Linked DNA regions of Coturnix japonica. The protein of the gene in region 1 purifies or fractionates together with the protein of each later gene. This does not show direct contact. Links are inferred from orthologs where the notes say so. Each region holds a gene or a part of one and is shown in the gene's direction. Other genes may lie near its edges.

Region 1 (4,131 bases):
TAAAGGAGGAGGCGGCGGCGGCGGCCGAGACCGAAGAACGCTCCTCCGCGAGGGCTGCTGCATCGAGCGCCCGCACATCGATTGGAGCCGACTCTTAGGGGAGAGAACGGCGGCGTCACGTCACCGGTGACGCGTTAAGGACGCGACGGGCCGCTCTAACAGGACCCCTGCCTTGTTAAAGGACCCCCCGCCCGGTGGGGAAGGGGCGGGCTGCAGAGCGGAGCCCAGCGGGGATCCCGGGATCCAACGCCCCCTCCACCGTGGCTCGGACCCGGTTGCAGCCCGTGGGGTGACGTGTCGGGCAGGGCACAGCCTCGAGCAGGCCCAGGCGGCCCGTAGACACACAGAATGACCCGGGTTGGAAGGGACCTCAAGGATCACGTAGTTCCAACCCCCCTGCCTGGCAGGGCCACCAAACATACACCTTTACTAGATCAGGTTGCCCAGTACCGCCCCGTGCTGCCCATCGGAGCGTAGAGCTGCTATGAGCACCGCAGCTGGGGGCTGCGAGTCTGTGTTTGGGCTACAATACCCGCACGGTGCTGCCGGACACCGCAACACCTGCCATGGGGCACCACGGCACACAGGCCTCACGAGTGTTTAGGGCCGCCAGCTCAGCCAGCTCAGCCCCTTCCATGTCCCACCGCCACCCAACCCACAGCCCCGTGCTACTCACGTCAGCCTCCAGAAACGGCAGCCGTAGCGGCCGCGGGTCGAGCAGCGGAGCTGCCATGCTCCCCATACTCCCCATGCCCCGCGGCAGCTGCCGTCGGTCACACGCTGCAGCCACGCGACGACCGGACATCTTCTTTTTCCCTATGGTGTCCCGCTTGTCGACACCAACACACCGGGACCGCCCTCGAGCCGGGTCGTTAAGGACGCGGAGCCGCTGATAAGTTGCCTTCAATACCTTCAATCGCTTCTTCAGGCAGCGGGTCCCTCAGTGCTGTGAGACAGAGCAGCACCACGAGCCGCTCCGCAATGCACGAGCAGCACCGGGCGCTGTGCAGCCAACAGCCGGGCGTCCCCTCGTGCTGAGCTGGGTTGGTGCCCCCTTAAGGCTCGTTAAGGGCACGTGGAGCAGCGCCGTGCGAAGCTGAGGCCTGATGCTCCTCCTGCTGCTGCCCGTCGCACCTCAGCACACAATGGCCCCCAGCTCCCACTCGGCTTCACGCGAGGTGGCAGCGCCGCGTCTCCCTCAGCCCCAGGTGACGCTGAGGAGGATCGAGGTGTGAGCCCGGCTGGATGCAGCACTAACCTGGAGCCCTTCACCCCCGAGGCCTCGTTGAGCGGGAGTTGTAGCGCTGCCACAGGTGGGTGGGCTGGACGTAACGCGATTTGCGTAACGAGAGACCGCGGCCGGGCTGAGACTTACGGAGAGAAAGTGTGTGAGCTCGATCCACGCACTTGGAGTACGGAAGAAACAAGCGGCGGACAGACGGTACGTAAAGTACGTATGTAACGTAAACGCCGCCCAAAGGGTGGGCGGGTCGGGACGACGCGGGTACGCAGCGGGCCGCCGTTGCGCATGCGCACCGCAAGCTCACGGCGACGAGTCTAGGCCTCGCGACGAGCGGGGAGTCAGGAGAGCCAATGGGAAGGCAGGTAGACTGAAAAGCGGCCAATCGGAGGGCGCGGATGCCAGGAGAGGAGCCAATGGCGAGGGGGCGGAATTTTAAAGGCTATTTAAGGGAGGGAGGTTTGAATTCAAACAGTTGTAGCGGCCGCGGGCCGAGGTGAGTGTGGGGACGGCTGGGCCGGGTCGGGCCTCGCGTGGTGCTGTGCTGTGGCCTTACCTGCGGCCTTACCTGCCTCGAGGGCGGCCCAGCCGGCGTGTGGTGTGGGTACGGCCCGGCCGTTACGGAGCTGGGGCGGGCAGGCCTAGGGGGAGGCCTAAAGTGAGGCCTAGGGGGCAAAGGGAGAGCAGCACGTCCGAGGAGTGGCGCTGCTTGGAGGCTCAGCCCTGTTCTCTGTTTCATTCTCCATAGGTGAAAGTGTATCTTGCTTTTCTCGGGCACTATGGACAAGAAGATAAAAGAGAACTGTCCTGGGAACCCTTCTCGTGTTATTAAGGTGAGAGGCTTATCGAGTTGATGGGGGTGACTGAGCTTCTGGCTGCTGTTATTAACATCCAATTATTTAATTGGGAAGTCCTAGTAGTGCAGTTTTTATCCCTAATCAACTAATAAGACAGCAAAAACATACAGGCTGTGACTTGCAAAGGACGTGCTGCCTGAATGTTGTATATCTTTGTGCATGCCTTAAGATTACATATCTTTGTATACAGAAGCACGGACATTCTTTTCTTCTAATTTAAGTATAAACAGGTCCTTGTCAGGTTTTAAAGTAGTAGAAGCATGGTTTAAAATCAGCTTTCAATGCATTGGATCAAAAAAAAAAGGAGAATATAAGTCTTCCTAGAGAGTGAAGGCATCAGTAACAGATCATTAGCATTTGAATTTAATTCTAGAGCAACTAAGCATTACTTAAATATTAGTTTAAATTTCCTTCCTCGACTGAAAGAAAAGGATTAAAAGTAGGTAAAGGAACTATCCTAAACTTGGCTTTGTTCTGATGAACTCCTGTAGTAGCGCAAGGCATCTTAAAATACACATCACTCAAGGGAACAGTGACTCAAAGCATTGTATGTGAACAGGATTCCTATAGTAAAGGCTGGTCTGAGCTTTCCACTGTTATCTACACTTTGGTGGCTCTGTGTCTAGTTATGAATAAGTATGTTGTTAATAAGACAGTAGTTTTCTACAAGTCAATTCAATTCTTAAAAAATAAGATCAGAGTAATTTTAACATCTTCTTTTAATATACTGGTTTTTTTTCTCCTCCCTATCTTTTTCTGCAACCTGTACCTAACACTGTTGTACAGGGACATAAAGGTTATAGTGTTCTATTCTATTACTAATGTGCAGTTGTTGTTTTTTGAAGGCAGCGAATCCAGTTGTGGATGGCCCAAAACGTGTCCCTGTGTCTCAGAGTTCTGCCCAGAGCCAGCCACTGAACAGTGGAGTTCAACTGCAACGTGTTCTGTGTCCTGCAAATTTTGCCCAGCGAGTTCCTGTACAATCACAAAAAAATTCTTCACTGTCAAACCAAAAACTGTCTAACAATCAGACAACACAGCAGCCCCGACCAAAACTTCCAGTCCAGCCAACTGCTGGGCCTCAGGTTCCAAGCAAGAGCAGTGAAAAACCTCAACAAGCTCCTGGACCTGGTAATTCCAAAGATGATACATTTCTGTGTTTGTGACACTCAGGAGAATTCAAACAAGAGTGCAGGACAGAAAATGTAAAGCTCACACTAACGACATGTTGGACAGTCCTGTAGAAGAATAGATGGTTGCACCCAGAAAGAGAAAAGCAGCACATACTTCATCTTAGATATTACTGTACTGTCCTTGTTGCTAGAGTTAAGGATTTAGAGGAGCTAATAGAAGTGTTCCTCCAGTCTTGAAAATTTACAGATGCTCATTAGTCAACTTTGAATACATGCAATTGGTATCCCTGCATCATGTTTTTTTCCAGTGTTCATGGTAATCTGATACACAAGAACACTGTATGAGCAGGAGGGAGAAGACTTCTTAATGTTTTCATGAGTTTCAAAAAAGCATTTGAAGTTACACTTTGATAAAGTAGCTCTAACTGCTTTGCTGCTTTGCCACTGGTAAGCTATGCTAGGTTTTAAATACAGAGGATAGACAGTAAATTGCTGTAGATACTACCCAGACTTATTCCTTGTGAATGTTTTGCATTCGCTGGTGGTTTATAGTTGTTCTATTTGATTGTATACAGCAAAGAGTTCTGAAGCAGACAGTGTCTCTAAACAGAAAAGTGAAGAGCCTACTAAAAAGAAAAAGGAAGACACTAAAAAGTAAGTTGCGGGCCTTAAAAACTTACAGCTGTTAGTTGTGCTTTCAATGTCTAGCAGTTCATGCTACAACTGAGTTGCAGCCAAGCTGCTGCCTACTTAAGCCTCTTGATTGCTAAGAACAGTGGCCTTCATAGAGACAATGTTTATTAATGAAACTCTGGGAAGGGTTACTTTGCTTTGGTAATCTTTAGGAACAATAAATTACTTTAATCTGAAGGAAAGCTTTTGGCACAAAAAGGAGCAACTT
Region 2 (3,357 bases), about 3.0 Mb from region 1:
TTTAGGGCAAAACTTTGGGGGAGTGTCTTTGTTTTTAGTGCTTTTAGTTTTTTTTGTTTTTCAGTGTTAGTGTAACACTGCTTTCCTCAGGTTCTGTTTGCCCATAGAGCATTTCATTGTATTTCAAAGGGCTGAGATCTGTTCCACTGGAGACCAATGGATTTTGTATTATCTTAATGGGTTATTATTCGTATCTTAAACTTGTTAGCCCTGACTTAGGGTTACTGTGATTCACGTCAGGTTTTTGTGCTCGTTCATTTCTTGTTACTAGCTGATACCACAAGAAAACTTGTCTTAAGGCTTCAGCAGTGCCCTTTTCGGTGACTAATGACCAATACTTTGATTCATTAGGTGAAAGAGGGGAAAATTTTTGAGGAGGTCACCGTGGGGGTATCGCAGTTGGCCAGCAAGGTATGGAGGGGCCTGCTTCCCTTGGAGGAGGCCAAGCAGTAAGCCAGTCTCCATATTCTTATACAGCACTTTGAATGACCACTAAACTTCTTTAGTCTCTACTTGCGGTGAATAGAAATGCAATTTCCAACCTGCAGTATTTGGGGTACTAAAAGAGCTCTACAGCTTTGATGCAGTCCTTTAATGGCTTCACTGAGGGCACGTTGTAGGGCTGTGAGACAACCAATGTCCTGAACACACAAAGAAAACCTCTGCTGGAGAATATGGAGACAGCTTGCATTGTGTTTGTGTGGTTGAACTTAACTAACGTTGCATACCTTTTTCTTTGTCTTCTTTTGCAATCGTTGCTTGGTTTTGTGGTAAGTGCTCTCTGTGCCTGCTAGGTGCAGAAGTCTTGCAGAATCAGTGTTACTTAGGAGGGTTTGTTTGTCTATTAAGTGCTTCAGATCTTATCATATAACAGCTCAGTGCCTGAAGTGCTGGGAATATTTGAATAAAGCAAGTTTTGTGTTACTTGGTCTGCTTAAAGCCTGGCAACTTGAAATCTGAGTTCTGGGGTTCCTCCTCCATGTCTGTGACTTAGAATAGTGACTTCCATAGGTGTCACTTGTGTTTCTAACTAAATGCCAGTCCAAAATAATAACCCTGAGAGTGGTCAGTTAGCCATACTTGCTCTAGAACTCAACATTTGTCCTGTTCGCATGAATAATACTAGTAAGAATGAGTGAAAGCAGTGTATTAAGTATTAGAGATGTCAATACTAGTCATGTGAAGCATCCAAAGAGTAGTGCTGTCATTAAATTCAGTTTCACGTGAGTATTCCCAACATTTTTGTTACGGAGTTCTAGAAGGCAATACATACAAAAGCCCTTTCTTAAAGAAGTAGATTAAAATGCTGAACTTTATGTACTTCTCATCCAGCAGAGTGGGGTTGTTAAACGCCTTTCCTTTGGATCAACTAGAAATTGCTCATCAAAAGTGTTAATTTTAATCAGTGTAGTGAAATTTTTCATAGTGTGTTATCTGTATCTGAACAAGTGGGAGAATGGGTTATGTTGGCTCAGTCCAGATGAGAAGTGTGTTCTTTCTGCCTAGGTTCAGGGAGTTGGGAGTAAGGGATGGCGAGATGTCACCACTTTCTTTTCTGGGAAACCAGATGATCATTCTGAAAGGTATTTCTTTTTTGTTATTATTTTCTGTCTCTTTAAACACCTCATTTTGTCCCCTCCGTGTTCTCTGCAGTGCAGAGTACCAGATATTCTTTGTAAATGTGAAGAAATTATTCTGTCTTTGGGGGGATAAAATTGCAAGTAGTCCTTCTCTAAAGTAGTTTGGGGGCCCATAAAGCTGTTCTCAGTCTGAGAGCAAAGTAGTGCTCTGCACCTTGATGTTTAAGTGATGCCAAATGCATCAATGTCTTTGTATTGTAGACTGTTAGCACTACATTTGAATTAGAAGAATAAATAGTGCTGTTCTGAGAAATGCATCAAATTCTTTTGCCTTTTGTTTTTGTTTCAGCAAAGCGTAACATTATTGTTTTCCTTGTGGTCGTTCCTGTTTATTGTTGTGTTTGTTATAACTAATTTATTTCTCCCTTCTTCTTTCTCCTTGCCTTGCCAGTAACAGACCAGCTGAGGGATGCAGCTACCAGAACAGTGGAGAGGAGGGCTACCAGAACAATGCTGTAGATCAAAGCTTCTGGGAGACCTTTGGCAACTCAGAGCCACCGAAAGCTCATAAATCTCCAAGCAGTGAGAGCTGGACCTATGTGGACAATTCCACAGAGAAGAAGAGCTCCGATAGCTGGGACGTGTGGGGCTCAGGAACAGTCTCCAACAACAAGAACAGTAACAGCGACAGTTGGGAAAACTGGGAGACCAACTGGGAAAACACAGGAGGGGAGAGCAAGGCCAAAAAACCTTCTAAGGCAACAAAAAAGGCATCTTCAGCTGATGATAAGTGGGATGACTGGTAGAACTGTTAACTTTGTTTTGGTGCAGCTAGGAAAGGGAGACCACACTGGCTGATTGAGAGGAGAAAGTTTTGCACCCATCTGGAGTATCTTGGTTGACTTTACTGATGTGTTACTTTCTGTGCTTTTTCCATTTGTTTTCCTTCTGCCCCAGTCTAGGAAGAAAAAACAAGTAGTGTCTGAATCTTTTATTACATGAAGATGGTTCTCTCGTTTTTATGGGTAGTGAGAAATATATCTTCTCCTTGCACTACTGAGGCTGGGTACACTGACTTTAAGAGCGATCTGAAAGACACGAGCACGTTTTAATGCCATAGTCTTGCATGTGTAAGCTCATAGGTATTCATCCAGCCTTCATATTATTTGAGATGACCAGAGATGTTTAACACAAATAAAGAACAGGCTGTATCTTGAAAAGGCAGCCTTTAAACGAACAAGCTGCAGTTGAGTAGATCCAGCTGAAATGCCTTATGGATTGCTGTGACTGTACGAGGTCTGGCAATTCAAACTGGTCTGTAAGGTACTTTTTATTGGAGCTTTGTTTTTAATCTTTGTGAGATTTTTAGATTTATTTTCTCCCCTTAGAATTAATCAGGAGTCTGGAGGTAGACGATTATCTGTTCCCACTCATCATTTTGGCAGCCTGAGCTATCAAGGGATATTCAGAATGGCTCCTTGTGCACTGTGTAAATTCTTAACCCATCAAGCAAGAATAGCAGCTCTCTTACACAGATGTGATGCAGTGCTGTCTGTCCTCCTTCTTTGCCTTTACCCTTCTCCCGCTCTAAGTATTTTGTAGGGTCTGCTTTGTTTTATTTTTTTATCTTTTTTTTCTTATACCTATCTGTGTTATCTATACTGACAAAAATGAGATCTTCCTGCTGCTTATGGCCTTCTGGACATCTGTTTGGCAACTCAGCAGTGAAATGAGTTAGTAAAAAGATTCCAGTAAGAAAAAATGCATGGAAAATATG
Region 3 (3,500 bases), on another chromosome or scaffold:
CAGTTTTACCCTTATGTATTCTTGGCCAAGCTCAGATCTTCATAACTCTCTCTTTTACATGCTTCACTTTGCGTCAGGTTCTACCATTTGGAATGTCCCACTAATCCTAATGAAAATACTAAGTGCGAGACACCCAGAGCTCTTACTGATATGTCTAAATTGTCTGTGAACTACATTGTGAACTGAACTGATAGTGTCCCTGCACCAAGTATTATTTGTTAGTTTATTCTGCAAATTAAAGTTATGCTGACCAATCCACAATTCTCCAGTCTCCCATCCTTGAATAAAGAGAGAAATGGTACCTGCCATCTGAAGCCTTGTCTGTCTTCCATGACATCTCAAAATAGCATCAGATGTCTCTAGGATTGTCTTCAAACAACTTTGCTGTACGTGTGCATTTTCTCCATTCTAGTGGAAGTTCGTATCAGTTGTCACTGGTGTTAGCCTACACTCAGATGGCTGAGGACTGAAGCAAAAAGAAAACTTAAATAGCCTTAAATAGCCTCATCTGGTGTTTCTTTCTCTTCTCAATCAGCTTAAACAAGCTTCTAAAAAATCTTTTCTCCTTCCTTCCTTTTTTTTTTTTTTTTTTTTTTTTAATTAATTAACCAAAATGGCCTTTTTACCATCTGTGACAGCTCTTGTTAGTTCCGTCTTGTTTTGCGCTCTGCTTTTCTGATTTTGTCCCAGCGTACTCCTTTGTACACTTCTGTTGATCTCATTTCTTCTTTTATACAATTCCCTATACTTCAACCAAGTAGGTCTTGGTAATTTACTGCATTTCCTATCTTTCCCTCAAACAAGGATAGTTTGTTTCTCTAAGAAGGTGCCAGCTCTCCTGAACTCTTCTTCTCCTTAGAGATGCATAAAAACCTCATGGGAAGGAAGTCTCAGTTTATTAAGTATTCCTCCTTGAAGCCCTCTGTTTTTATTCTTCCACTCTTTTTCCTTCCTTTTGTGGGAACCCTGACTCATGGCGTCATCGCTCTCACTCAGGTTACTTTTCATCTCCATATCCTCTACATGTTTCATCTCTTGGTCAGAAGTATCCAATCTCTTCGCTGATTTCTCTGTGTGTTCATCTTCTACATATTTTTACTTTGTATCTTGGTACATGCCCAGAAAATCCAGAATCTGAACATCTGAGTCAGCATATCTACTTTTCCCAGCAGTGAGTAGGAAGTTAAAAAGTTCCTTGTTGCACATGATTACGCCGACAAAATGTTTGACCCAGCATTTTTCAATTTCTTTCCTTCTATTTTCCTGTATTGTTTTTATGTCTGTTATTTCTTTTCTCCAGCTTAAAGTCCCTCTGACTTGTGGAAAAGCAGGTTTGGCTGTTAACTTATTTATTAGGACAACAACAGCCTCTTAGTGCTGTATGCTGCAGCAGACAGGATTCTGTTCTTTTTAAGAGTTGTATTTTATTTGAAAGACCAGTGGTCCAGTGCCCTCCTCTTCAGGCTGAGTACCCCATAGGTTGTGTTCACAACTGGAAATGACACTGCCATGAATCACCAGCTCCTGTATCAAGCACAGCCATATATCTATGAAGACTGAAATGCAATTTCCAAATATATTACACATACCTAATGTTAACTTTAGTGAATTAAATGCTTAATAGCCCCGCCTTCATAGAGAGCATTGTAAGATCCTAATATAATCGTTTATAACAGATTTACCTTTCTTGTAGTTCGATGGTATCCATGTGGTGAGTGGATCTCTTGACACGTCCATCCGAGTTTGGGATGTGGAGACCGGAAACTGCATTCACACACTCACAGGCCACCAGTCTTTGACAAGTGGAATGGAACTTAAGGACAATATACTTGTGTCTGGGAACGCTGATTCTACAGTCAAAATCTGGGACATTAAAACAGGACAATGTTTACAGACATTGCAAGGTGAGCTTAAACTACCATGATAGAAATCAAGCTGCCTGCAGTAATCTGTGCTGCAGATCCTATATAAAACCTTCTAACCATTTCATACAAAGAAACAATCGTGGACCATTTACAACTTAAATATCATTTTTCTGATGACAGCTGTATGATCTTCCTCTGAATTAGAGGAATTTCATCTAATCTATTCAAATCACTTGCCTATTATGAAAGGCAGATGGCCTGAACCGAGAGAAATTTGCAATGAGTGTATTAGCCTAATAAGCCACAGAAATATGTAGGAAATGACATCTCAAAACAGCCAGTCAACGTTTTATTTAGGGGTCACTTGGATGTTTCAGAGCCTACTGATTAATTGGATTGGGAGGCAAAAGCACACTGTCTATTGCAATAAATCAAAAGAAAAGATTGGAAGAGAGTGGAAGATGTTTTCACTTTCTCAGTGAGAAGAAAGATTTTGGTTTCCATTTTTACAGTTGCCACTGACGCATCATGCACACCAGCATGTTATTTTGTTCCCTCTTCAGAAAAAGTCATTTATCATATCCAGCAATGCTGGCTGCAGCAGAAAGTTAAACTTCACTGGAAAAGCAGGCTGCTGTTTTAACAGTTTATATGTATCTGTATGTCCCTCAGTACTTACTGGTAGAGTAATCCCATAATAACACTTCAAAGGGACTTGGAGAAAAACATGCATTGTGGTCACCTCATTTCTGCATGGCTAAGTTCATTCTCATGAATTTCCAAGTATGCACTTGTCCTGCTGTGCGTATGCAACAAAACAAGATCACTGTAACAAAGAAGTATTTTGGGGGAATTTCACGCTTTGAAAACAGAAGGCAAGGTTCTGTACCTTTTAAAGCACAAAAACAGGGATAACACATCTAAGAGAAACAGCTGTGCTCAAGTGGATGGGTATTTACATTATATACAGCGCTGTCTGTCACTGCTTTCCCGTTAGAAACAAAAATGTTCTGGTTTGCTCTTCTAGGTCCCAACAAGCATCAGAGCGCTGTGACCTGTTTACAGTTCAACAAGAACTTTGTAATTACCAGCTCAGATGATGGGACTGTAAAACTTTGGGACTTGAAAACGGGTGAATTTATCCGAAATCTAGTTACATTGGAGAGCGGGGGAAGCGGAGGCGTCGTGTGGCGGATCAGAGCTTCCAACACAAAGCTGGTGTGTGCCGTTGGGAGCCGGAACGGGACTGAGGAAACAAAGCTGCTGGTGTTGGACTTTGACGTGGATATGAAGTGAAGGGCAGAAAGATGAATTTGTCCAAACGTGTAGGCGATGTTCTCCTTTCCCTCGCCCTGAGAAAAAAAAATAAAAGAAGAAAAAAAAAAAAAAAAAAAAAAAAAAAAAAAAAAAAAAAAAAAAAAAAAAAAAAAAGAAAAAGGAAAAAAAAAATCCCTTGTCCTTGGTGGTGCAGGATGTTGGCTTGGGGCAACAGATCCTAAAGACCTACAGACTACGAAGGAGAAGACAACGATAACAAACTCTAACTGACAAGAGAGGCATTCGCTGTCTCGTCACATAAAATGGCAACACCTTCGACCGGGGCAGCTTTGCAAAACTTCTGAAATGAAACCAGGT
Region 4 (3,500 bases), on another chromosome or scaffold:
TCACTTAAGACCACCGGGAGCCACGGTTGGAATCACACAGCCCTCGTGTTCATCCCGCCTTGATTTAATCACACACAGCAGATATAGCAGGGAGAAAAGTGGGGCCTTTGCCCTGTGTTTGTCATTTCAGGTGGCCTTTGAATGTCAAATTCATGTTTAAATGCTTGTAAAGTCCATTATTGTCATTCATTGTCACTCCAGCATTGGTCAGTACTGCACTTGGGGGTCTCAGCCCTCACACTGTTAGAGTTTGGAAGGCAGCTTCCCTTGCTTTAAAGGCTCAAAGAGGTGGTGAAAGGCTTCGGATCATTCAAGAAGGTGGAAGCTAAGACTTAATAACAAGAAAACCCAGAAATGGGTATTTTTATGATTAAAAGCAGCTGTTGAATGTGACTAATAACCCAAATGCGTCTGCCCGACAGGCAGGAATGTGTGGAGCAACTCCTGAAGAATATGTTTGATGGAGAGCAGACTGAGAACTGCATCGTGAATGGGACGCAGGTTCTGCTGACATTGCTGGAGACGAGGCGCTCTGGGTAAGTCAACACGCTTCGATCCTGAATAGAAGGGTTTTAGCTATTCAAATCTGGTTTGTAATGAAGGATATAGCAAAGGTGAAGGTCTGGGGAGGGAGATGCTGAGAATCTCGCTTTCTTCTTTTAAAGGAGGAAATAGGAAGAGTGAAGGAGGCGATGGGAGGTTGGGGAGGGTTAGAGGGAGGAACTGACAGGAGATGGTGTTGGGTCGTTGTTAGGCAGCTGTGCATGGTTCATAGAATGGCCTGGGTTGCAAAGGCCCACAATGATCATCCCATTCCAACCCCCTGCTATGTGCAGGGTCACCCACCAGGCTGCCCAGAGCCACGTCCAGCCTGGCTTTAAATGCCTGCAGGGCTGGGGCATCCACAACCTCCTTGGGCAACCAGTGCATCACCACCCTGGGTTATGGCTGAAAAGCTGAGATGCTGCATCTCCTGTGCCTTGTGCCCTGCATCTCCGAGGGCTAATGACTTCCAGATATAGAGGTGCCCGTGTAGGTTGTTGGTGCTTTGCTTCAGTGCAAGCATTTCTCTTATTCCAATGTGAGACTGTGCTGTTAGAAGGGTCTGCTGATAATGCACTGCTAACCAGCAGAGGTGTGAGCCCAACTGCCCCCTTAGTATTATAGTGCACTCATTAGTGGCTTTAACAAACATTCAGTGGCACAATTTACTCCTTAAACATCTGTAAAGCTGGTAAGCACTGTAGTAATTCATCTTTGTCAGCCCCGCAGACAGCTTCTCCTCTGCCTTCCCACTCATTCACAATTATGATGATGTGAATATCATCTTGCAATTAACATAATGAGATGATGATGTAGTTACCTTCCGTGGCTGTCAGTGATCGTTCTTCACGTTCAGAGTTCTCTTTCAAGAGGAAATAGCCGATATGGGCAGTGTGAGTGGAGACCTATATGAGGTTTGGCCAAGCCCTGATTTGCGTGTTTTCTTTGTTGCAGGGTGGAAGGACTGATGGACTCATACACTCAGGGATTTGAAAGGTCTTACACTGTCAATAGCAGCATCTTACACGGCATTGAACCCAGGCTAAAAGATTTCCACCAGCTGCTGCTCAGCCCTCCCAAGGTAACGTGGCTCAGCCTTCCCCAGGAGCAAACAGCTGCTGGATGGATGGGGGGGGATTCCTCATCCTTATTTATGGGTTTTGTGAGGACTTTCTGAAAGCACCAAGTGTTGGCAAGGCAAACTCTACCTTAAATCTTTACAAGAAGGATTCACGCTTCAGGTTTGTAATACGAGTGCTTAGGAAGTTCAGGCAAAGTGTGAGGTTTTGGCAATTTGGATGGAGGAATCCCAGGTATATATAGAGACTGGGAGGAGCAGAGCTTGAGAGCAGCCCTGCAGAGAAGGAGCTGGGGGTGCTGGTGGCTGGAGAACTGAGCAGCAGCCAGCAGGGTGCTATTACAGCTTGGAGAGCAAATGGCATCATGGGCTCCATCAGCAGAGGGTAGGGCCAGCAGGGACAGGGAGGGATTGTCCCTCTCTGCTCTGCCCCATCTGCAGCTCTGCATCCAGGTGTGGACCCCTAATGTCCCCAAGATGGACAGGGAGCTGTTGGGAAGGGTCCATTGGAAGCCACAAAGATGCTCAGAGGGCTGCAGCACCTCCCCTACAAAGACAGGCTAGGGAGCTGGGGTGTGTTTCAGCATGGAGAAGAGAAGGCTGCGGGGTGACCTCATTGCAGCCTGCCAGGACCTGAAGGGAGCCTACAGACAGGAGGGGAGTCAGCTCTTTGAATGGGGGGATAACAGCAGGACAAGGGGAAATGGTTTGGAGTGGAAGGAGGGAAGATTGAGGTTGGATGTGGGGGGATATTGTTGATAGAGAGTGTTGGGTGCTGGACCAGCTGCCAGAGAGGATGTGGATGCCCCGTCCATCCCTGGAGGTGTTTAGTGCCAGGTTGGATGGGGCCCTGGGCAGCCTGGGCTGCTGTTCATTGTGGAGGTTGGTGGCCCTGCATGTAGCGGGGGGTTGGAGCTTCATGATCCTTGTGGTCCCTTCCAACCCAACCATGCTGTGGGTGAGGGGGGCACAGAGGAGGGAACACAGAGTCAATGGGTGTTTTGATCTTATGTTTGGGAAGTTCAGACCTCACAGCGCTCTCAGGTCACTGCTGAGTGGGAAGACACCATAGTTTTGCCTGCATGGAGTATTTATGTCTGAAGATGAGATGGTTCTATTTAATCAACCAGTTGTATGTCTGCAATGGGGGATTCATTGACCTTCACTGAGGTTCTCCACCATTTCTCCTATAGAAAACAGCGATCCTGACCACAATTGGAGTCCTGGAGGAGCCGCTGGGCAACGCTCGTCTTCACGGCTCTCGCCTGATCGCTGCTCTGCTCCACACAAACACTCCCAGTATTAATCAGGAACTATGCAGACTCAGTACCATGGATTTATTACTTGTGAGTAACACTATGTGGCACTGCAGGGGGTGGGGGTGGGGAATGGCTTCAGGCTGAGAGTGTCTTCGCTTTCCCTGTTGGGCACAGTGTGGTTTGTGTGCAGGTCACGTTATGTCCATATCCTACTAAAGGATACCAAGCAATTAATAGGGCAATGTTCTGACATCATTTGATTGCCAGAAGTGGGATGATGGATCCAGAATGACTTTCTTCTTGTTTCTCTTTTTGTTCCAGGATTTATTTTTTAAATACACGTGGAATAACTTTTTGCATTTCCAAGTGGAATTGTCCATAGCAGCTATTCTCTCACACTCTGTGCAAGAGGGAAGAACTACTGCCAATGACCCAGAAAGCAGAGAAGAGGTGCTGAATGGAAACGTGACCACAGAGAACCAAGAAACTCCAGAGAACAACACGGAGAATATCATGGTTACACATGTGAGTCAGGTCACATCGGCAGGGAATTCAGAATCATAGAATGGCCCAGGTTGGAAGGGACCTCAAGGATAACAAAGCTCCAACAGCCCATCACA
Region 5 (4,154 bases), on another chromosome or scaffold:
TGCAACTATGACATGTCCGTGCCGAGGAGAAGGGGGGTCACCGTGGGTGCCAGGCTGGGTCCATGTCAAAGCATCTGAAAAATGGGAATGTGTGTGTATGAGGAAAACTGTCAGCTCTACAAACCAGCAGCCCCCGAGTCTCGCTGGGGTTCCCTCCTGGGGTATGCAGGACTATAGGAACAGACAGAATAATACCAACAGGTCATGAGAAGTCTCACAGCATTTCCTGTCCCAAATCATTATACTGCCACTTTGGCCCAAGTTCCCCATTGCAATACAGAGGTGAGCACATGTCAGCAGCAACCTTCAGCCCTCAGCAACCTTCAGCCCTCCATTGAAACTCGCAGCCAAGGCTGATGAGATCTGGGAGGCAGAACTTCAGAACAGCGGGCGGTTACTTCCAGTGCCGGTACAGCTCACGACACACTCAGGTACCTGTGTCAAAGACATGAAGCTGCTGGTCTTTAACCGGCTCCGCTCCTTTGTCTCCACCTCCGAAGACGTACAGACAGGTCCCTAGAGCTGCTGAGGAGGTGTGGAATGTCCTGGGCAGTGGCGGAACACCCGTCACCTCGGGACTCTCCCAGGTTCCTATTTCTAATTAAGACATTCAATTAATAAAGCATACACGAGGTCTGAAGGGCCGCTCCGCACCGCCGGCCCGGCCCGACACCCGCTCCACCGAGGTCCGGCATCCGACGAGGTGCCGGCACTCACCGGGGTCCAGCACTTGGACGCAGCTCCGGTTCCCGGCCGGGTGCGCGCCGCCGAACACCCAGAGTCGCGTCGGAAGGCGGGCGGGCAGGAACGTGGCGTGCTCGTAGCGCGGCCGCAGCCCGCTCCAGGCAGCCGGGGCCCAGCGGTGTGTGTCTGCGGGCGGGGCGGGGCCGTTAGCGGGGAACGGCGGCGGCAGCGGGGGCTGTTAACGGGGAACGGCAGCGGCTCCGCCCGGTCCGACCCGACCCTCACCCAGCTCCACGAAGTGCGCGTCCGCGAAAGCGCCCGCGGGGTCGGCGCCGCCCAGGAGCAGCACGCGGCCCGACCCGCCCGGTACCAGCACGCAGCCGTGACCCACGCGCCCGCGGGGCCATTCACCGCGCGGGGCCAGCCGGTACCTGCGGGAAGCGACGGGCGGCGCTCAGCCGAGGCCGAGAGCCGGCCGGGACCGCGCCGCCCCGCCCCCCGCTCACCACTTGCCCGCCCGCGGGCGGCTGCCCGGCTCCAGCAGCGGCGGCAGCAGCGGCCCCATGGCGGGACCGGGCCGGGCCGAGCTCCGCCCGCCCCACACGGCTCCGGCCGCCGCCAACTTCCGGTGCGCGGCCGGAAGTTCGCGGAAGTTCCGCTGGCGTCCGAGTCTCGCGCCGCTTCCCGGAAGTGGAGAGCTCCGTTTCCGGCTCCGAGCTGCCGTCCCAAGATGGCGCCGCTGGACCTGGACAAGTACGTGGAGATCGCTCGGCTCTGCAAGTACCTGCCCGAGAACGACCTCAAGGTGGGACCGGGCGGGGGGGGGCGGGGTCGGACGGGCGGCGGTGGACGGTGCCGGTGGTTGTAGTAGCGATGGCGATAGCGATAGTGATAGCGATAGTGATAGCGATGGCGATGGCGATAGCGATAGCGATAGCGATACTGTCCGGTGCTGTTGGTGGTGCTGGTGCACACCCCGGCGCTGCTGGTGGCGCTACCCGCCGTGTTCCCGCAGCGCCTGTGTGACTACGTGTGCGACCTGCTGCTGGAGGAGTCCAACGTGCAGCCCGTCTCCACGCCCGTCACCGTGTGCGGGGACATCCACGGGCAGGTAACGGGACACGCCGCGCTGCTCGGCCGGGACGCCCCGCGGTGCCCGGTGCCGCCGCCCGCGCTGACTCGTGCCCCTTCCCGCAGTTCTATGACCTGTGCGAGCTGTTCCGGACCGGCGGGCAGGTGCCCGACACCAACTACATCTTCATGGTATGTACGTGCCGGTGCCGCTTTGCTCCTCGCGCCGTGTTGGTCCCGGTTCTGCGCTGGGTGCCGGCCCTGGTGGCAGCGCTCTGCCCTCCCACCCCTGTGCTGCCCCCGGCTGCAGGGCGGGCAGAGCCGGGCGTCCCGTGCAGGGGTGAGTGAACCATTGCTGGGGAGCTGAGCTCGTTCTCACCGCTTGGCTCCCTTCAGCGTCAGGTTCCTTTGTGCAATGAGGAGTTAAAGGTGGATGTGTCACTTTGCATTTCTCCTTTTTGCTGTTTCTTCATTCATAATTCTGTTTTGACTTTGCAGGGCGATTTTGTAGATAGAGGTTACTATAGTCTTGAGACTTTCACTTACCTTCTGGCACTAAAAGCTAAATGGCCCGATCGTATCACGCTGTTACGAGGCAATCATGAAAGCAGGCAGATAACACAAGTGTATGGATTCTATGGTAAGACTTTACCCAAGTGATTTCTGAATGGGGGCCAGCATGCCATCAACAACTACCTCCTATTTCCCTTTTGAAATCGGCTTTGTGTGTGCACTGTTAAGTGGGGCTTTACTTGAACTGGGTGGGAAACGGTCTCAAATGTTATTTAACACTGTTGTGTTCAAGAAGTAAAAGCGTTTTAGTCCATCTCCAGACCATCTTTTCCTCCAGCATCTCAGTTTTTCTTTGCATTTTTTGATGATATGCTTTGGTATCTTTAAATAAAAGATTCTACATAATTCTCTTTAGGTATAACTGAGAAAAGCATTGTCATATATAGGCTGTAATTTGCTTTCTTCTGGATAACATGATATAGTGTGTCAACAAGAGCATATATAAACATTTGTAAGCCTCGTGAAGCTCCAAAGTAAAATTTGTCCATCAGTTTTATTGATGTGTTTGTATAGCTACAAACAAAGCTACTGTAACACTTATTTGTAGTGAAAAGGTCTCTAATTAGCCCTGATGGGTTCACTGTTTCTGCCTCACTTCTCTTGCATGAAATGTAGAGTATAAACACTGCTGGGTGAGCAGGGGGGCTGTTCCCAGGCAGTCAGTGGTGGGAAGATGCTGAGGTGCTGTCTGTCGTGTTGCTTTTTCCTCTGTCTGTTGCTGAAGACACAGCAGTAGATACTGAGGTTCTCTCCCTGCTGGTGGACCACAGAAGCAGTGAGCAGTGCTTTCCAGCCAGTGCTCACCGGTTGCTCCCAGCTGTTTTTTATTTGTCTGTTTGCTTTTTGGTTTACATCTGCCTTTTTAGGTTCTGTTCTGTTTGACTCTGATCATATTGCCTGAATTCCTTCTGGTCTGTTAAGAAGAAAAAAATTCTCTATTTAACAGATGAGTGCCAAACCAAATACGGAAATGCTAATGCTTGGAGATACTGCACCAAAGTCTTTGACATGCTCACAATAGCAGCTGTAAGTGTAAACACCTTAAAAAAGATACAGGTAGATTGTCTAAATATAACTTGAAGAATTGGTGGTGGTGAGGGTGGTGCTGGAGAGGTTCTTGGTTTGGTTGAAATACTGAGCATTCTTTGTGTTCCTTTTTCTCTCCAGCTAATAGATGAGCAGATTCTCTGTGTGCACGGTGGATTGTCTCCGGACATCAAGACACTCGATCAGATTCGCACCATTGAACGTAATCAAGAAATTCCTCATAAAGGCGCCTTCTGTGACCTGGTTTGGTCTGATCCAGAAGATGTGGATACGTGGGCCATCAGTCCGCGAGGGGCGGGTTGGCTGTTTGGTGCTAAGGTGACAAATGAGGTAACGATGCCGTCCTGTGCTGCGTCCCATAATTGCAGGTGTGAGATGAAGTGTTTGACTTTACTGTAGTGACGAGTGGATTAAGGAACTTCCCTTGTGAGGGGACTGAGTTGGTGTGGAGGTGAGGGAGGTTTTCTCGTGACATACTCTTTTCCCCTCATAAAGTGCCAAGTGAGATAATGCACACCTTGTGTTTAAAAAGTGTAATGCAGTGAGACTAACTAGAATTACTAGGCTTTGTGTAGAATACTTGTCTAATGATTTGGAAGAAGAAATACTAGCTTTGACTTAATTTTTGTTACTTTGCAACATAGTAAGAGGCTCAGACCCACTGAACTTCCCAGGCTTCTGAACCGGCCCTAAGATGAATCCCTGCCTCATGCAGTGTGTTGTTCTCTGCTCCTCTGCAGCATATTCAGGAGGGATTGAAAGGCGTGGGCAGTGCAGGC
Region 6 (4,058 bases), on another chromosome or scaffold:
CCAGCTTGCTCCCGTCCCTAAATGCAGAGGGAGCAACCAGCAGGTTACGCTGTACCGAAGCCCTGGGTCTCCAGGATTCAGTTTCCTGAAGTAGGTCACATTTGATCTCCTTCCAGGCACACTGCAGAGGTAACTGCTTAACAGGGAGCCTTCAAAAGTCATATTCTGCTTCCTAATGCTGCCAACACCTGCCCTTCAGAAATGCAGCCATACTGACAGAACAGTTTTTCATTGATTTTGGGTATAAACAGGCCAGGAATCCTGTTTTTCCCTTCAGTTACCTGTATTTCTCCTAAATTTCCCCAGAAGGTACATATTGACTTTCAGGCCGCATTTACATTCAGATGATGGCTTGTTGTTGGAAAAAGTCCCTTCAGAGGGGCTCATTAACTTCCTTTCAAATGTTTTCTGGCCCCAACCAAGGGAGCAAACTAGCAAACAACTCACCGTGTGGCTTCTATCTGAGCTTAAAGACACGGGATCCTGCATTTGTGTTGTTCGTTCTAATGCCACTTCCAGCTTCAGCACGGCTTAATGACAGACCGGAGCCCATCTGCTCCAATGACTAGCTTTGGACTCAGAGGGAGAGCCCTGAGGATAATTTAGGAGCACATTTTATAGTTAGTGTAACTTCATTCCAGACCAAGGCAAACATGAGCAGGTGGAAATATCTCTCAAAAGCACAACCTGACCTACATAGTGCACTGTAAATTAAAGAGACGTATAAAAATAAAGCATTGACAACCCAGCACGTTCGCAACAAGACCCAGATACGGGCCTGCAAGCGCTCCATGCCACCTGCACATGGCTGCCATTCTGCAGTGCCTTTAAGCCGATCTGCACTCTTGTTCCTTCTGCTTTATCACTTTTCTCCCCACTGCTGTGCACTTTCTGGCTCGCTGTTCTCCATTACTTCATGGAGGAGCTGCAAGCTGCTCAAGGCGATTTGTCCAGCACATTTACAGACAGCAAGGGGCCACATGAATCCTTGTAGCCAAGGCCCAAAATGGCACAGAAGCAATGGCAGCACACAGGCAATGGGTTTCCAGTTGGGTATGTAGCTCCAAGAGCTCCTGTGGGGTTAGGACCACCATGGCTCCCATCACCCCAAGGCAGCTGCAGTCACCTGGGGGGGCTCGGTTACCTCAGGGGTCACGGCCATCTTAGGGCTCCGACGTCACAACAGCACATCCAGCCAGCACTTAAAAGGCCCACAGGGTTATAAAGGGGGATAGAGACGAACTCCTCCCCTGTAGGAGGGCTGAGGGCCCGGCAGGAGGCGGCTCCCGGCCCCGTCACCTGACAGGAGGCGGCCGGCACCGCCCCGCTGGGGGGAGGCAGGCGGCGTCGGGAGCGCGCTCGTCTCGCCGTGCCCGCGTCCCGTGCGGCCGCCATGTTGTGCTGAAAAGCGGCGGCGGCGGCAGCCAGGAGCCCGGCGACCCCGGCCCAAGGCAGGACGCCGCGCCCCGGGACGGGGTGTGGGGGCTCCGCGCCATGCCTGGCCCCGAGGTGAGGAGCCGCTGAGGGTCCGTGAAGGGGTTCGGCGCCGCGTGGGGGGATGCGTTGGGCCGGGGCCTGGCGGAGGGCGGCCGGGCTGTCACGGAGGGCCGCGGCCCGGCACGCCCCCTCAGCTGGGGCGGCTGCGCTGCGCTCCCTCGGCCGGGGGCTCGGGGCTCGGTGCGGGGCTCCGTGTGGAGCTCGGTCTCCTCTTTCTCCCCACGGGGCCCGGCGGCCTCGGGAAGGTGACGGTGCAGGGCCGCGCCGGGCTCTGGCCGTGCCCCGTGGCCGCCTCTGTGTGCCCGTACCCCGCGTTGCCTGCTGTCCCGGCCCCGAGCTCAGCCCATATCGGTTGCGTACAGCTGCTTGGGTCTGTGCTCCCACTAACGAGGTTGTCAGGGCTTTTCTATTGCTTACGGTGCGTGGGGGCTTTAATCGAGCTTCTTCCCCGTGTTTTTCTTAACAGTCCCGTTCCTCTGGTGGGATTTGAACAGATGTTGCCCTTCTCTGGTGAGTACGGTTCCATGCCAACCCTCCTGACCCCAAACCGTGCTGAAGTTTCTGTGTTTTAAGGGAAGCTCAAGGTTTGCGTTGTAGTTGCGTTGTCCCTCCTTTTAGGGAATGCTGCTTTACCAACCTCAGATTCCTTTGCATCTCTCTGTAGAAGTAACTGATGATCATTATGGCCCTTTGCAACCCAGACCATTCCATGATTCCATGGCTGTTTCATTCCTTGCACCCCTCCCTTACTGGGTGAGGGCTGGGCACAAGCTTGTGCCTCGCACAGGCTGAACATCTGGTACCTGCTTCTCTCCTGTCTGTGCACTTCACCTGCCTGTTTTCTGGTGTGCTGAGCCCATGTTGCCATGTGCAGTGAAGCTTTTTCTTAGCAGAGTTTGTCTAGAGAATCACATGGAGTAGCATGGAGTGATGATTGACTTTATGGTGGGAATAAAAGACTATTTTAATTGCCCATTGACAGGGGATGGTTGTGTGACTGAGGGAGCTGTGGCAGGTTTTGTGCAATACCTGCCATGTTTGAAGCTTTAGATAAAGGGCTGAGGGTGCGTCTGGTCTGTTAGTAAAACCTGTTGTAGTACTGAAAATCCTTTGTGGTAGAGGATGAAGGGGAGCTTGTATGAGTGAGTTTATAGGTAGAGGAGATGTGACATCTAGTATCTGTGTTGCTTTGCATTAGTGATCATAGTGGTTTTTAGAAGACAGAACAAGTACTTTCTTTCGTAGTACAGGAAATGCTGTGAGCTCAGAGTGTTGAAATCATTGTCAGATAAGTAAAGGTGGGGCATAGGCTTCTGAAATGCTGCACTGAGAGGTTTCTCTGTGCTTGCTTTGGAGTTGGGGGAGAGGCAGGTGGGCAGGGAAAATGTTAAGCAGCAGGTTTGTTGGCAACTGTGCCCAAAGGTCTTTGAGTCCTAAAGATTATAGGAGTGATATCTTGAGACAAGTTAGTTTTCTGGCTGGTAGTATTATTGGTGCTTATTTAGGATTTTGCTAATGTCCTGCCATTAACTGTCTGAACTAGAAATTAGCCAAGTGTTAGCCTGCTTAAGAAACCATCGGCAAGGCCAGCTTGATAAGCTCTTGATTTTCCCATTAAAATGGCTGTCTGCACCAGAAGGAACCAGAAATGCAGCGTGTCCAAGCTCCTGAAGGTAGAGAGCACAGCACTTTATCTGAGATCTCGTTCCACCTACATGCTGTGCAGGGTGGTGGAGAGAAGTGTGTTGTCAGCCCTTCAGTAGTAGGAGATCTGAGCAGTGCTTGGCTGACAATTAATGTGTCCAAATGGAGTAACGTAAGGAGAAGAGTATCAGTGGGCTGCTGGAGAGCTGGGAAGGAGCCTGATAAATCTGCTGGAGTGCAAGGAAGGAGTCATTGTCTGTGGAGTGAATTGGAGGAGCTGGGTTAGCATCCAGCATGTGGGGTCTTTTCTGCTGTGGAAGATAAAAGGTTGTTCCTGTTCTGGTAGCTCTGCATGGGGTTGTGTAGCTGGGTATGATCATGGGACTCTTCTGTTTGGTGCTGGTTGTTTGTTAGAGCCTATGACTGCAAAGAGTACAACAGTGCTTATCAGTTACTGTGAGCTAGAATGGAAATCCCAAATAATTGAATGTGATCTTATTTCATAGCTACTTCTATTAACCAGATCAAATAATATGAATTGTTTCTTTCAGGATGAGCTTCCAAGCACTGAATTGTCTGTGCCTCTTTGCTGTAATGTACAACTGTTCTGCATGTGTACCCAGCTGAAGTAGCTGGTAAAGATCTGCCTATTAGGTCCCATATGGGTTTTATGTCTCTGGGACATGAGCTTCCTTTGTAATTCTATCCTTCTAGATATTAGTGCCATAACTTTCCAGTGCTTTTAGGAAAGCTTTGGGAATATGCCTAACGTGCAGATCATTCTTGTGATTAACGGAGGTTTTTAAAGACAGCTGTTCCTTTATCTTTGTGGAGCTGTGAGATCACAGGGTGACTGAGCAGTTTGCATGGAAGATATGAAAGGGAATTTAGTGCTAATTTAGGATTTGAAATACAGA
Region 7 (3,500 bases), on another chromosome or scaffold:
TTCTTCTTTCCCTATTTGTTTGTAAACCAAAATTATCAATTTCAGACCAAAATAAAGAGTTTTATATGCCAAGTGGCAGACTAGATTCCTCGTGATCTTAGATTTAAATCTCATTGTTTATCTATGGATCTAGAAATCTCATTTCACTATGACAAATTATTGTTGAAACATCCTAATAAAAGTTGGTATTATTACGTTATCAAACATTAAGATATTTCCTGTAGCAGAATGGTTTTAATTTATCAAATAGCAAATTTCCAAACAGCAAGGAGGAAAAAACCAACAATGTAGTTTTATTTAGCTTGTGGTCATAACTTATTCGAAGTTAATTTTATGTTCTTTAAGAAAAAAAATAATAATAATCTCTTTCGGGGTTAATTTTCTTATTATTTCTGAACTAATGAAAAAACAACTGTCAGAATTATATCCTGACTCATTTAATTACCAAGCATTCTCATCACTTAATTTTTTTCTTTTTTTCTGTTTTTGTAGTGTGAGAGGCAATGTGCAGGCGGTGTTAGGGTAGGTTACTTAGCTGTCCTGTTTCTTAGAGTTATTTAACTTGTGAATGAAATTGCAGCAAAAAAATGCAGTTTATCGTTTTATAAATATTTGCAAGGACGGTCACTGAACTCTTAAATGAACGCTTCTCATTTGTGTTTTAATGGCAGGTGGGACAGGTGATATTTGATAAGAAGTTAGCTCTAGTTCTAGGTGGTTAGAAAACTTGCACTGCTACTAGTGTCTAGAATAAATACTTATTCAAACGTTGCAATTTTCACTGAACAATTAAAGTTAGTGAAATCCCTGCTTTGGACACATGAAATGGGTATTTACAACAGCAGAACTTTTTTGGTAAAATATAGCTGGGTTGTGAGTTTCTATAGCCATTCCCTCTCTGTTCCACCGCCTTTCCTAGACCTGGCTAGGGCTGTCACATTATGTTGAGGAACGTTCTGATCCAGTTGGTCAGTGGGTGGTTTCAGGGGTTTCCTGGTGGGTGCACCCTATAGCTGAACATCCACAGCTCTCAGGACTTGTATATTTGGCCCAAATAGAGGGGTCCCCAGTTTTTAGCATCTGGTTCACAGATTCGCAAGATTAGATAGCTGAGACTACAGCTATAGACTACATACATAGACTGGGGGCAGATACAGACTACAGCATACCATACATAGATTGAGGGCAGATATAGGCTGTTTCACTTGATTCAAAATGGTGTTGGCTTTCAAGATCCAATCCAGAAAAGCACTTTGAATCTGATCTTGCTCCGATCAAATTCAGTGGCAGAATTCCCATTGACATCAGTGATGCTGGGTTGAGCCTGTGAATAGTCCTTTTGATATAGGAACGGCTACTTATGCATTTAGTTAATATGTTAAAGTGCTTTCCTGGATTGGGGCCACAGCAAATTGTACAGCATCGTATCTCTTGGACATATCTGTGTTCAATTTACAATTTACTTCAGCATGCACCAATTTGTTCCATGTGAGGAGAGAAAAGATATGAGACATCATTACTTTTATTGTTGTGGATATATGATTATGTATTAAAAACGGTGACAAATGTAAATTTAATTAAACAAGTTACGGGTATAGTCTGCAAAAAAAAAAAAAAAAAAAAGCTATGCACTTGCCTAAAGAATAGGATTAATACTGGTTGCCTTTGCACTGCATCATTATTCTATATAATGATTTAATGTGCAGGTTGCTGTTAAGTACCAAACAAAATTCTGTGTTGCGTAACTGTGTCATTTATCTGCTTTTCCATTCTTAGACATTCTCTATTGTAGTCTTGGTGATGCAAAACATTTGAGAAGCTGGAGAGGTTTCATATGTGTTAAAATTACATGTTATTAATTTGTTTTTCTTCTGCTTCTAAGCAGATCACTTACTGAACTCCTATCACAGACGATTAGAACAGTGTCCCACACGTGCATTTAATTCTTGCCAATCTGTTATTAGACTCTTCTTTTGGTCTATAAGAATTGCCTACTCTGACTAAATTTTAATTCGTTTGCTGAGTAGACTACAAGTTATTTGCAACTCAACTGTATTTGAGAGCATAAATAAATATATTTTGCTGCTTTATGTAATGATTATTGGAGCGCTTAGAGTTTAAGAGGCTGTTTAGTTTTCAACATACAAATATGCACTTAGTGTTTTTTTATAAGTCAGTTTTGTGTGCACTGAATAAAAATATCAGCATGAGTTCCTATGAAACATACCATGTGTGGTATGTAAAACATACAAAACCTTTATTACTTAACCTGTAGTAGTGTATTCCAAGACAATTATTCTAGACTTAGAATGCTAGTATTAATTGAGGTTATATTGTGTATCTGATTAGACAATATACTATCAACTAAAAAAGTCAGGCTTATTAGCATATACTACTCATATCCTATTCTTATGACAATTATAGAATAAAATACTATTTTCCTCTTCAGTAGCATGATTTTTTTTTTGTGTGTTCTTTCATAGACAAAGGAGAATTTGTTGGCTAATGGTAAACTTGACTATGATGATGATGATGAAGAAGATGAAGACCTAATGTGGAGGTTGCCCAAGGAAGAAACAGACTTTGAAGATGATTTTTTGGAGTATGATCAAGAGCATATCAAATTCATAGATAGCATGTTAATGGGATCGGGGGCTTTTGTGAAGAAAATTTCTCTCTCTCATTTTTCAACCACTGATTCAAACTATGAATGGAAAGCACCCAAAAAGTCATCCCTGGGTAACGTTCCGTTTTCATCAGATTTTGATGATTTTGACTATAGCTCTTGGGATGCTATGTGCTATTTGGATCCTAGCAAGGCTGTTGAAGAGGATGATTTTGTAGTCGGCTTCTGGAATCCATCAGAAGAAAACTGTGGTGTTGATGCAGGAAAGCAGTCAATCTCATATGATTTGCATACAGAGCAGTGTATTGCTGACAAAAGCATTGCAGACTGTGTGGAAGCCCTGTTGGGCTGCTACCTGACCAGCTGTGGTGAAAGAGCTGCTCAGCTTTTCCTGTGTTCACTGGGGCTGAAGGTGCTCCCTGTTATTAAAAAGACTGATTGGGAAAGCACTCTGTGTGCGACTGGAGAGAACTGTAACAGTGAGCTGAAGAATCTTTCACCAAACTCTGTTTCTACTTGTATAGTTAATTCAGAGCCTTCTCTTTATAAAGACCTGGAGTATGGTTGTTTGAAGATCCCACCAAGGTGTATGTTTGATCACCCAGATGCTGAAAAAACCCTGAATCACCTTATTTCTGGTTTTGAAAACTTTGAGAAGAAAATTAATTACAGTTTTAAGAACAAGGCGTATCTTCTTCAGGCATTTACTCATGCCTCGTACCATTATAATACCATTACTGGTAAGTTCCCTTAATGAAAAGTGTTTTCTCTTGCATAATAAATGTAAGATAGGTAATCTGATTTAGAAGGGGAGTACTTGTTGAAGCTATATCTTAATGATTATTCATATTTTTATTTTTTTTTAAATAAAAGG

The links.
Region 2: the proteins of AURKA (region 1) and ARFGAP1 purify together in Homo sapiens (affinity purification with mass spectrometry; 3 studies listed by BioGRID and IntAct, counting the BioPlex papers as one, with this or other methods). This does not show direct contact. The link is inferred for Coturnix japonica from reciprocal best matches to the Homo sapiens genes AURKA and ARFGAP1.
Region 3: the proteins of AURKA (region 1) and FBXW7 purify together in Homo sapiens (affinity purification with western blotting; 5 studies listed by BioGRID). This does not show direct contact. The link is inferred for Coturnix japonica from reciprocal best matches to the Homo sapiens genes AURKA and FBXW7.
Region 4: the proteins of AURKA (region 1) and PPP6R2 purify together in Homo sapiens (affinity purification with mass spectrometry; 4 studies listed by BioGRID and IntAct, counting the BioPlex papers as one, with this or other methods). This does not show direct contact. The link is inferred for Coturnix japonica from reciprocal best matches to the Homo sapiens genes AURKA and PPP6R2.
Region 5: the proteins of AURKA (region 1) and PPP6C purify together in Homo sapiens (affinity purification with mass spectrometry; 4 studies listed by BioGRID and IntAct, with this or other methods). This does not show direct contact. The link is inferred for Coturnix japonica from reciprocal best matches to the Homo sapiens genes AURKA and PPP6C.
Region 6: the proteins of AURKA (region 1) and MTMR3 purify together in Homo sapiens (affinity purification with mass spectrometry; 3 studies listed by BioGRID and IntAct, counting the BioPlex papers as one, with this or other methods). This does not show direct contact. The link is inferred for Coturnix japonica from reciprocal best matches to the Homo sapiens genes AURKA and MTMR3.
Region 7: the proteins of AURKA (region 1) and DICER1 purify together in Homo sapiens (affinity purification with mass spectrometry; 4 studies listed by BioGRID and IntAct, counting the BioPlex papers as one, with this or other methods). This does not show direct contact. The link is inferred for Coturnix japonica from reciprocal best matches to the Homo sapiens genes AURKA and DICER1.

The regions. Positions count from the first base shown.
Region 1 is NC_029535.1:10,854,595-10,858,725, forward strand, and holds the start of AURKA (aurora kinase A), read left to right. Parts: upstream 1-1,331; 5' UTR 1,332-1,441; exon of another isoform or gene 1,442-1,450; intron 1,451-1,649; exon of another isoform or gene 1,650-1,736; intron 1,737-1,988; 5' UTR 1,989-2,019; coding exon 2,020-2,073; intron 2,074-2,942; coding exon 2,943-3,228; intron 3,229-3,805; coding exon 3,806-3,884; intron 3,885-4,131. Other genes in the region: CSTF1 (cleavage stimulation factor subunit 1), read right to left, coding at 1-93, 677-805. UniProt on the Homo sapiens protein: Mitotic serine/threonine kinase that contributes to the regulation of cell cycle progression.
Region 2 is NC_029535.1:7,887,193-7,890,549, forward strand, and holds part of ARFGAP1 (ADP-ribosylation factor GTPase-activating protein 1), read left to right. Parts: intron 1-351; coding exon 352-411; intron 412-1,506; coding exon 1,507-1,583; intron 1,584-2,031; coding exon 2,032-2,386; 3' UTR 2,387-3,357. UniProt on the Homo sapiens protein: GTPase-activating protein (GAP) for the ADP ribosylation factor 1 (ARF1). Involved in membrane trafficking and /or vesicle transport.
Region 3 is NC_029519.1:29,730,621-29,734,120, reverse strand, and holds part of FBXW7 (F-box/WD repeat-containing protein 7), read left to right. Parts: intron 1-1,693; coding exon 1,694-1,904; intron 1,905-2,892; coding exon 2,893-3,161; 3' UTR 3,162-3,500. UniProt on the Homo sapiens protein: Substrate recognition component of a SCF (SKP1-CUL1-F-box protein) E3 ubiquitin-protein ligase complex which mediates the ubiquitination and subsequent proteasomal degradation of target proteins.
Region 4 is NC_029516.1:601,906-605,405, forward strand, and holds part of PPP6R2 (serine/threonine-protein phosphatase 6 regulatory subunit 2), read left to right. Parts: intron 1-422; coding exon 423-536; intron 537-1,497; coding exon 1,498-1,624; intron 1,625-2,814; coding exon 2,815-2,967; intron 2,968-3,201; coding exon 3,202-3,405; intron 3,406-3,500. UniProt on the Homo sapiens protein: Regulatory subunit of protein phosphatase 6 (PP6). May function as a scaffolding PP6 subunit. Involved in the PP6-mediated dephosphorylation of NFKBIE opposing its degradation in response to TNF-alpha.
Region 5 is NC_029532.1:8,073,149-8,077,302, reverse strand, and holds the start of PPP6C (serine/threonine-protein phosphatase 6 catalytic subunit), read left to right. Parts: upstream 1-1,354; 5' UTR 1,355-1,414; coding exon 1,415-1,489; intron 1,490-1,699; coding exon 1,700-1,795; intron 1,796-1,881; coding exon 1,882-1,947; intron 1,948-2,253; coding exon 2,254-2,395; intron 2,396-3,274; coding exon 3,275-3,354; intron 3,355-3,495; coding exon 3,496-3,705; intron 3,706-4,154. Other genes in the region: RABEPK (rab9 effector protein with kelch motifs), read right to left, coding at 1-74, 436-597, 718-870, 970-1,115, 1,191-1,249.
Region 6 is NC_029530.1:9,814,988-9,819,045, reverse strand, and holds the start of MTMR3 (myotubularin-related protein 3), read left to right. Parts: upstream 1-1,258; 5' UTR 1,259-1,509; intron 1,510-1,963; exon of another isoform or gene 1,964-2,007; intron 2,008-4,058. UniProt on the Homo sapiens protein: Lipid phosphatase that specifically dephosphorylates the D-3 position of phosphatidylinositol 3-phosphate and phosphatidylinositol 3,5-bisphosphate, generating phosphatidylinositol and phosphatidylinositol 5-phosphate.
Region 7 is NC_029520.1:41,567,211-41,570,710, reverse strand, and holds part of DICER1 (endoribonuclease Dicer), read left to right. Parts: intron 1-2,483; coding exon 2,484-3,366; intron 3,367-3,500. UniProt on the Homo sapiens protein: Double-stranded RNA (dsRNA) endoribonuclease playing a central role in short dsRNA-mediated post-transcriptional gene silencing.